Linked DNA regions of Neurospora crassa OR74A. The protein of the gene in region 2 interacts with the protein of the main gene of each other region in a pairwise test. Links are inferred from orthologs where the notes say so. Each region holds a gene or a part of one and is shown on either strand. Other genes may lie near its edges. The genes, in order: NCU03092 and NCU07839.

What was found.
Region 1: the proteins of NCU07839 (region 2) and NCU03092 interact in a protein complementation assay, tested with the Saccharomyces cerevisiae proteins (2 studies listed by BioGRID). The link is inferred for Neurospora crassa OR74A from reciprocal best matches to the Saccharomyces cerevisiae genes DBP2 and NSR1.

Annotation. Positions count from the first base shown.
Region 1 is NC_026501.1:4,517,912-4,522,205, forward strand, and holds NCU03092 (nuclear localization sequence binding protein), read right to left. Parts: upstream 3,051-4,294; 5' UTR 2,815-3,050; coding exon 2,455-2,814; intron 2,395-2,454; coding exon 1,799-2,394; intron 1,737-1,798; coding exon 1,406-1,736; 3' UTR 560-1,405; downstream 1-559. Other genes in the region: nuo12.3 (NADH:ubiquinone oxidoreductase 12.3kD subunit), read left to right, coding at 3,475-3,700, 3,825-3,913. UniProt on the Saccharomyces cerevisiae protein: Involved in pre-rRNA processing. Specifically binds nuclear localization sequences. Candidate for a receptor at the nucleus that may be involved in both RNA and protein transport. Binds telomeric sequences of the type (TG[1-3])n in vitro.
Region 2 is NC_026503.1:1,035,949-1,040,538, reverse strand, and holds the start of NCU07839 (ATP-dependent RNA helicase dbp-2), read right to left. Parts: upstream 3,071-4,590; 5' UTR 2,367-3,070; coding exon 2,251-2,366; intron 2,113-2,250; coding exon 893-2,112; intron 373-892; coding exon 244-372; intron 181-243; coding exon 31-180; intron 1-30. Other genes in the region: NCU07838 (hypothetical protein), read right to left, coding at 3,400-3,451, 3,788-3,963. UniProt on the Saccharomyces cerevisiae protein: ATP-dependent RNA helicase involved nonsense-mediated mRNA decay and ribosome biogenesis through rRNA processing. Associates directly with chromatin, correlating with transcriptional activity.

The DNA.
Region 1 (4,294 bases), on a different chromosome or scaffold from region 2:
GATGGACGACGACGTTGGAAGGAAATATTCCCCAACAAATGCTGCAAAGAGAGGAGAGAACGATTGTATGCAGAACATTTACCTTCAATATCTGGCATCATGGGGACAGCCATACGCATACACGCATCATTAACCTTCTTAATCTGCTATTTTTTTCATATTTTCTTCATATTTTCTTCCCATCTTGGTTGTCTTTTTCATTCGGGACTCGGATTTGATCTTGTTATTTTGGTTACCCGATTTGGTCGCAGGTCTAGGTTCTTTTTTTGTTGGTGTTGCGTGACTTTGGCTTTAGTTTGGGCTTGTTTGTGTATCGACTGTTGAGATGACTTGTAGACGAACCGAGTTCATCGAATTCAACTTTTTGGGGATTTGCTTCGTGACACTTTGGGAGCTATCGCGGTCAACTGTGACCATGTTGAAACACGTGACGAATGATCAAGACTTTTGTGAACGAGCAGTTTTTTGAAGATCCTATCGACATACATACACACAAGTCTACGCCTCAAAATACCACATCACATACATAACGGCAAGTCACATCATTGGAACAACACAGTTACTGAACAATACTTCTTTCTTGCTACTTCTAGTCCGTTGGGACTTGGGTATATGAAACAGGGGAAGAGTATCAGATTACTTACCGGGTAATGTTCGTTAAGAAGGATCACCCGTGTTCTGTACCGTTACGCCATCGATGATGTATCGTGAAGGGCAAATGCTGATATGAAAAAAAAAGAAAAAGAAAAGACCCGAAACCCATTTTAAGTGCCCCCAGGTGACCCCGTGATTGTACCGGAAAATCCCAAACCAACTTTTAGATGCCCTCTTTAGTAACCCCACAGGAAGAAGCAATGACAATAGTATGCGGAAAAGAACAGGAAACGATGAACCACCCTCGAAGCACAGACTGGATAAGGCTGTGTGAACACATGTTTGTGGCATGTGCAAGTACAGGTCCTCGCTTTTCCGTTCTTCCGTTTTGTCAGCTAAAGCCCACAAGAGCCCACGAGCCCACAGAGTACTTGGAACCCATCATTCTTCTGGTATGCATCGAATCCAAAGTGCAGACGACCGCGCAAGGGTCATGGAACCAGCCAACAAGCCCACCGGCAGAGGTCCTAACTTTCCTGTTGAGAAAGAACAGACGTGCCATGTACGAACGAGCTGTCAAAGAGCTACCAGCTCACCACCATCTTCAAGCCCTCAGGTATCGCTTGCTTTCCCTGCCACGCAGCAGGGAAGCAGTTATCTCTCAAAAAGCCCACGATCTCCCACGAAGGAGACACTGTAAGATTTCAAAAGCCGACAACCCACTAAGCCCTCCAGTGCGAATCTGTGTTTCAATGCCCTCAGGTTATGGTATCACATTCCCCAATGTGTGCGGGAATCCCACTTGACCACTTTAGAAGGTGGTCTTCTTGCCCTGGAAGCCACCACGGCTGCCACCGAAACCACCCCGTCCGCCACCGCGGCCACCGCCACGGCCACCGAAGTCACCACGGCCACCACGGCCACCACCACGGCCACCGAAACCACCACGGCCACCGCCACGGCCACCACCGCGGCCGCCGCCGAAGCCACCACCGCCACCGTTGTTGTCACGGGGCTTGGCGTAGTCGAGACGGACGGGACGGCCATTGAGGTCGGAGCCGTTCAGTTGCTCGAAAGCGTTCTTGGCATCCTCAACGGAGTTGAAGGTAACATAGGCGAAGCCCTTGGGGCGGCCGGACTCCCTAGAAGACTGTTAAAACTCTGCTCGGCAAAGATGCACACAAAGGTATAGTGGGATACTCACTGGTCAGTAGGGATACGGAGGCTGGCAACGGAAGCGACGGAGTTGAAGAAGTCGGAGACGACAGACTCGTCGGCGGAGAAGGGCATGTTACCGACGAAGAGGGTGTCGGACTCGGGAGAGATGGTGTCACCGTGCTTGGCAGCGCGGTTGGCGGCCTTGTCTTGGGGCTTGTTGCCGGCATCCTTGGCAGCGAAGTCGAGACGCATCTCACGGCCCTCAAGAAGAGCACCGCTCTTGGCATCATAAGCCTTCTGCGCCTGCTCGTTGGTGGCAAAGTCGACGTAGCCGAAACCGCGCGAGCGGCCAGACTCACGGTCAGTGACGACGCGAGCGCTCTTAGCACCCTCGCAGTCCTCGAACTCAGCCAAGAGGATAGCATCATCGATACCCCAGCCGAGGTTACCAACCCAGAGGGTGCTCTTGTCGTCGGCAACCTCCTCAGTCTTGGCCTTCTTGGGAGCCTCCTCCTCCTCGGAGGACTCCTCAGCCTTGCGCTTCTTGGAAGGCTCCTCGGACTCAGACTTCTCCTCGGACTCGGAAGAGTCAGAGTCAGAGTCGGAATCGGAGTTGTCGGAGTCGCTCTCCTCATCATCGGACTATAAGCAGACGTGGGTTAGCAGATGTATACTATGAAGAGGAAGTTATGTTGTACTCACGCTCTCCTTCTTCTCCTCCTTGACGGCGGGCTTCTCCTCCTCGGAAGTCTCCTCAGACTCGGAGTCGTCAGAGTCAGAATCGGAGTCAGAGTCGGAAGACTCGGCCTTCTTGGTCTCCTTGGCGGCAGGAGCGTCGGTCATCTCCTCATCGGAAGACTCATCGCTGGACTCATCCTCGCTGGACTCCTCCTCAGAAGACTCAGACTCGGACTCCTCCTCCTCGGAAGAGGACTCCTCCTTCTTGGACTTCTTGGAGGGCTTCTCAGCCTTGGTGGCCTTGACGGGCTTAGCAGCCTTGACGGGCTCGGCCTTGGCGACCTTGGTGGCCTTGGTGGCCTTGACGGAATCCTTCTTGCCCATGATAGCGGTTGTTGTAAAGTGATGTGATGAAGTGATGGAATCCGCTAAAGGGTATTGAAGAAAAAAGAAGGATGAAGATGATGAATGGGATAAAGGATGCGTCTGAAGAAAAGAAATTTCGTCGGGAAGACTGCTGTTTAAATGGGGAGCAGAGGGTGGCGGGTACCGTAAAATCTCTGGCTGATCAACCTACGGCAGAAAAAAAAATCGTTATCACACTTTGATATGGGACTTTCTAGTGGGGCAGGGGACCTGGGGCAGTGGAGGATCCGGGTGGAGGTTATGTACACACGCGAAGGCGGTGGCCCGCGCACGAGCCGCGGTGGGGAAGTTCGTTCCACCTGAAAGTTCCTTCCCATGCCTGCCACGGCCCACGACCCCCCGTCAATTGCAACTTTACTGCATGGTCCGAAAGACGAACAGCATTTGGGCTAGCGCGTCCCTGCCTGCCTGGTTTCCCAGGTGTGCTGTAAAGCTCGAGCCACCATACGACCGGGGCACCACTTGGAGCTTAGAGATGCGCCGTGTTGGTTGCAACGGCATCATCGACGAGACGAAAGTGCGGGACGATAAGCTGCGTCTCTCTCCCTCTCTACAGCTTTGTTTGACGACAACTTGTGCTTTCGGTCTTCTCTCGCGAGTCGCCCACATCTAGCAGCAATGCCTACTCCCGAATCGGCGGCCTTCCTGGCCAAGAAGCCCACCGTCCCGCCCACCTTTGACGGCGTCGACTACAATGATACGAAGCGCCTGAAGCAGGCCCAGGATGCCATTATCCGCGAGCAATGGGTCCGAGTTATGATGGGTCGCCTGGTGCGGGAGGAGTTGTCCAAGTGCTATTATAGGGAGGGCGTGAACCATCTGGAGAAGTGCGGACATCTGAGAGGTGGGTACAGGAGTGCTTCCCATCTCCCGTGGTTCTTTGGCGGCAGAACCATTCAGCAATTGCATGCAATCAGCCATGCGATGGTGCTTTTTCCCCTTCTCTTGCTGACTTGTTTCTGACACAGAACGCTACCTCCAACTACTCTCCGAAAACCGTGTCCAGGGTTATCTTTTCGAGCAGCAGAACCATTTCGCGAACCAGCCAAAGCAATGAGTTCTCCTCCATCATTCTGGGAGCAGACCGGAGGGTACAAGCTGGAGCGAGCTGATTTGGGGCTGAAATGATCTGGGCAGCGAGAGTTTTGGCAGGGCAGTGCGCTCGAGAACCGGAGAGCGAGTCAGTCATGGTCGAACCGGGAAGGGGCTCCATAACATCGCGGACCACCCTTTCAGACGTTCGGCTTCAGCAACCCCCAGAGGAGTGCTCGGGCCCTTTAATGAGACTTACGAGCAGGCATGTAAATATTAACAGAACTCGGCAACAACAGACACACGGGGGACTAGAGGAATAACAGGACTCAATTCGGCCTCCCATTTTTTTTATTTTTTTCATTTATTCTTCTGCACGTATGTTGTCTGTACAGTTCGCAGATTT
Region 2 (4,590 bases):
GCCAAATTCACCTGCGTGAAAATGACTTACCACCGCGCCATCCACCGCCGCCACGGCCGCGATAGCCACCGAAGCGGCCACCTCCACCACCACTGTAGCGAGCCATCTCGGCAAGTCTAGGGTCAATCTGCTGCTTAGCTTCTTGAAGCACACCGACGAGCTCACGAGCCTGCTTGGAGTCTGTGGAGAGATAACATTAGAATTTCGTTCGGCTAAGGATGGGCAGATTCAGGTGACACTTACTGTCAGTGGTGAAGAAAGTAATGGCAGTACCCTTCGCACCGGCACGACCAGTTCGGCCGATACGATGGATGTAATCCTCGGAGTTGTTGGGGTAGTCATAGTTGAGCACGTGAGTAATGTTGCGCACATCTTTTTTTAAAGGACCGTGGTTAGCAATAGCAGGGTTTGGAATAACGACATTCCAGAACGGACGGAGAACACGAATATCTAGGTATGTTCTGTGATCCTCTGGTAGTACTTCTCTCCTTGGCAGGTGGGCTGTCCATTGCGAAAAATATGCCGGGTTGGGATCCAAGGTTCCAGAGATCCTTGGGCCATGCATGCAAATCCCCTTGGGAATCTTGGAGACAAGCTTGACGGGAATCAAGAAATGCCTACTCCTCGCTTGTACCACAACTGGGATAAAAAGGTACAATTGAAGAATCACGCGGGCGTAGCATAGTCCACTGTTTCTGCTACGTCACGAACCCAAGACTCCACTCAGATAGACCAAGTCGACACGAGGTCAGGCAAGTTCGCGCAATCAAGAGAGCCCCTAGACATAAGAGTAAAGCACAAGCACGTACGTATGCTGGAAGTCGCCTGAGATGGGGGAGAGAAGAAGGGGGGAGGGGTTTGGGCAGGGCGGAGGGGTAAGATGGATACATACCGATACCACGAGAAGCCACGTCGGTGGCAACCATGATAGGGCTCTTGCCAGTCTTGAACTGGTCCAAAACCCAGTCACGCTCGTTCTGTTGCTTGTCGCCGTGGATGGAAAGAGCGGGCCAGCCGTCCTGGCGGAGGAAGCGGGTGATGTCGTCGGCGACACGCTTGGTGCCGGTGAAGATGAGGATCTTGTTCTGGTTCTCGCGGCCCTCCATAATCTTCTCAAGATGCTTGATCATGCGATCACGCTTCTCGGACTCGGAAACAACCTCGACGATCTGGGTGATACGGTGGTTGGCAGCCAAATCCATGGAACCGATGTTGACCTGGATGAAGTCGGTCAAGAAGTCGGCGGCCAAGTTGCGGACCTCCTTGGGCCAGGTAGCAGACCACATGAGAGTCTGACGATCAGGGCGAATCTGGCCGATGATCTTGCGAATTTGGGGCTCGAAACCCATGTCCAACATGCGATCAGCCTCATCGAGGACAAGGTAGGTGACACGACGGAGGTTGGTCTTGCCAGACTCGAGCATATCGATCAAACGGCCGGGGGTGGCGATACAGACCTCGACTCCCCTGGAAAGATCGCGAATCTGGGGACCCTTGGGGACACCACCGTAGACGCAGGTGTTGCGAATGCGGGACGACTTGCCGAACTTGGAGATTTCTTGCTGAATCTGGACAGCCAACTCACGGGTAGGGGCGAGGATGAGGACGATAGGGCCATCGCCGGGAGCGAGGAGAGGCTGAGCGTTGATGTGAACGATGGCGGGAAGGCAGTAGGTGAGCGTCTTTCCGGAACCGGTCTCGGCAATACCGACGACATCGCGACCAGAAAGGGCCATGGGCCAGCCCTGCGACTGAATGGCAGTAGGAGCAGGGAAACCCTGAGCCTTGACCTCGTCCATAACGTAGCGAGGGAAACCAGCCTCGTCGAAGGTCTCGACAGGCTTGGGAACGTTGTTACCGAAGACGGCAATGGAGTGGTCTGCGCGGAACTTGTCGACCTCAGCAGGAGATCGGTTGGCGACGCTAGGATGCTCTTGGTAGAAGGACTTCTCGAACTTGGGAAGAGCGCTCATGTCCCAGTTCTGCTTCTGCAGACCAGCACCGAGAGCAGACATCCTATCACCGCCGCCACCACCACCGTAGCCGCCGCCTCCGTAGCCACCACCACCGCCGCCATATCCTCCGCCGCCGCCTCCGTAGCCATTCGAGCCACTGTTGAACCAGATGTTAGCAATTTGATCTTGAAATGCAAAGAGAGAGAGAGAGAGAGAGAGAGAGAGAGAGAGAGAGAGAGAGAGAGAGAGAGAGAGAGAGAGAGGAAATGAGCAGGTTCGCGCTAAAACATCATACCCGTGTGAGGAGTAGTTGTTAGAGTAGCCGCCGCCATTGCGATCGTACCCGTTAGAATATCCACCACCACCGCCACCGCGGCCACCGTAGCCGCCGCCGCCGTAAGATCCGGACATGTTTGCTGGTTGTTTAAGAAAAGGTTGAAAATTGAAGATCGGTTGTTATTGGGGTTGCTGAAGGGTAGACCGAAACGACGAGCAAACAAGGCCTAGAGGCGCAAGGGTATCGATTGTCGGGAAAAGAAGACGTCGGAAAAGACAGACGTCTAGAGACAAGAACCAAACGACACGCGTGAAGTGGTTACAAGTAAGCAGTCCGACTGGTTAAAGAAGGATCGCGGATGAAGAATCTTGCAGAATCGCAAGAAGTAGGCGGGAAGGGATATTGGAGATGGAGGGTGGGTGGAAGGAAGGAAGAAAAGGGCTGCTGCGAAGGGTGAAGTGCAAGTTTTTCTGGACGGAAGTCGAAACGAAAAAAACTCTGGGGGCACTGGACAAGGACCCGTCACGTAAGGTTAGTATGGGAAAAGAACCTGACCAAAGGGAGATGTCGATGGAGGATTGGTGGGTTCCGCTGTGCAGTGCTAGTGGATGTGAGATGCGGATCCTGTGCCAGACCCGACTCGCCTCCAAGCGGGAAGAAAAAGTCTTTCTTTTTGTTGGAGGCGGAAGGCGCAACGCGTCCCTTGCGTGCAAGTGCCCCAGAAAAATATTTTTTTTTTCTTCCCTTCCCTTCAGTTCACTGCAGTCGTTACAGCGAAGGCGGATTTGAGGGGACCGGGCATTGCCGTACCTGTCCCCCAGACTTCCATGTAGGGGCGGTCTGGCACCAGAGAAAAAAAAAACTGGACCCGACTGGCAACACTTGGCGGGCCTGCATTCTTTCACTGTTGACAAGCACAGATAAGCACAGATAAAGCGCCGATAAGGCATGTGTGGCCTTATCAATCAGGCAGAAGTCCACCTTTGCGGGAATTGGCGTCACCTGGTTCACCGACTCCGCTTTGCCAGAAGGGTTCTCGTTCTTGCTTCACTGGCGGATTATGCTTGGCAGTCTTTGCTGCGCGTCGCGGTTGTTGGGCAATCATCCGTCGTCGCTCACCTCAGCTGTCAGGGAACGGAAAAGAGAATCTGTAATCTTGACCACATTCTATAGGAGTTGCCTGTTCACATACATGTCCATGCTCGATGCTAGCATGTTTCTACACGTGTATACAGCCGTACTTAGGCCTCATATTGCCATCCATCTCCCACCTCATCTGAAGACTTTGGGAGCAGCAACTTCCAGTCCGTTCCGCAGCCGACCAGGATGTACACTACTGCGTACACAAAGAGTGGCAATAAATCCATCACCACCGCCTGGTCTAGTCCACCACCATCAGCCACATTCTCTCAACACAAACCACCACTTCCATGTCCTGAAACATTTTTCGATCACTACACTACTCACGACCTTCAAGCCCCTTCCCTGACTTGCCCTCTTGGTTTCTTTCGGACAACAGCAATCTCTCCGTCCCCTCCAAACTCCCAAAACTTACTCATCTTCTCCTCTCCGCCCCAACTCCTCCACCTCCTGATCCAAACGCTCCAGCACCAGCAGACTAAACGCTTTCTCTTTGCTCCTGCAATTCTTCAGGTCCTTTTCGAACTGCTCCATGCCCAAGTGAATGGTACGGTGTTGCTGGATTAAATCATGGTTCGCTGCTTCTTCCATGTCCTCCTTTGGCCCCCCCTGATACTCTTCTTCCGTTTCGCTTACGATGCTGATGCTGCTGCTGATAATGATGACGACGTTGACGATTATGGGCCTTGATGGCAGCTCTCAATTGAGGCATTTGCTTTGCTATAAGGAAACCATGCAAGTCTTTGATGGATTGGTGAGCTTTTAGGTAGCGAGTGACGGAGCCCGCATTCTATGGGTTGTCGCTCAGTCAGTGCTGCTGTGCCTTGACTACCGTTGTCACAGGTACAAGCTGTGTCGAGCGTATTCCACACCGAGCGACAGTGATTGTACTTCAATCTGATATCGAGGAATAGAGTGCAGGAAAGGATGAGCACAGACAAAGTAGTCCATTCGCTCGTCTAGTCGGTTGTACACTGTATAGTCTCCTGGTGAGAGCGGTGGTGGCGCCCGATCGGTTGCATTGCCGGCATTGGAAACTGCATCCGGAGTGACAACATTGCCGAGTCTCAGTCCGGCTCCGGCTCCAGTCTCTTGGGCTTGCACATCGCTGTCAGACGTGCTCGATATCATGTTCAAGTTGAGGTTTGTGCATTTGATAAAGGCAGCGAAAAGTCACTATTAATACTGGAGCGTGAAGAGCACCTTAAGTCTGTTGGT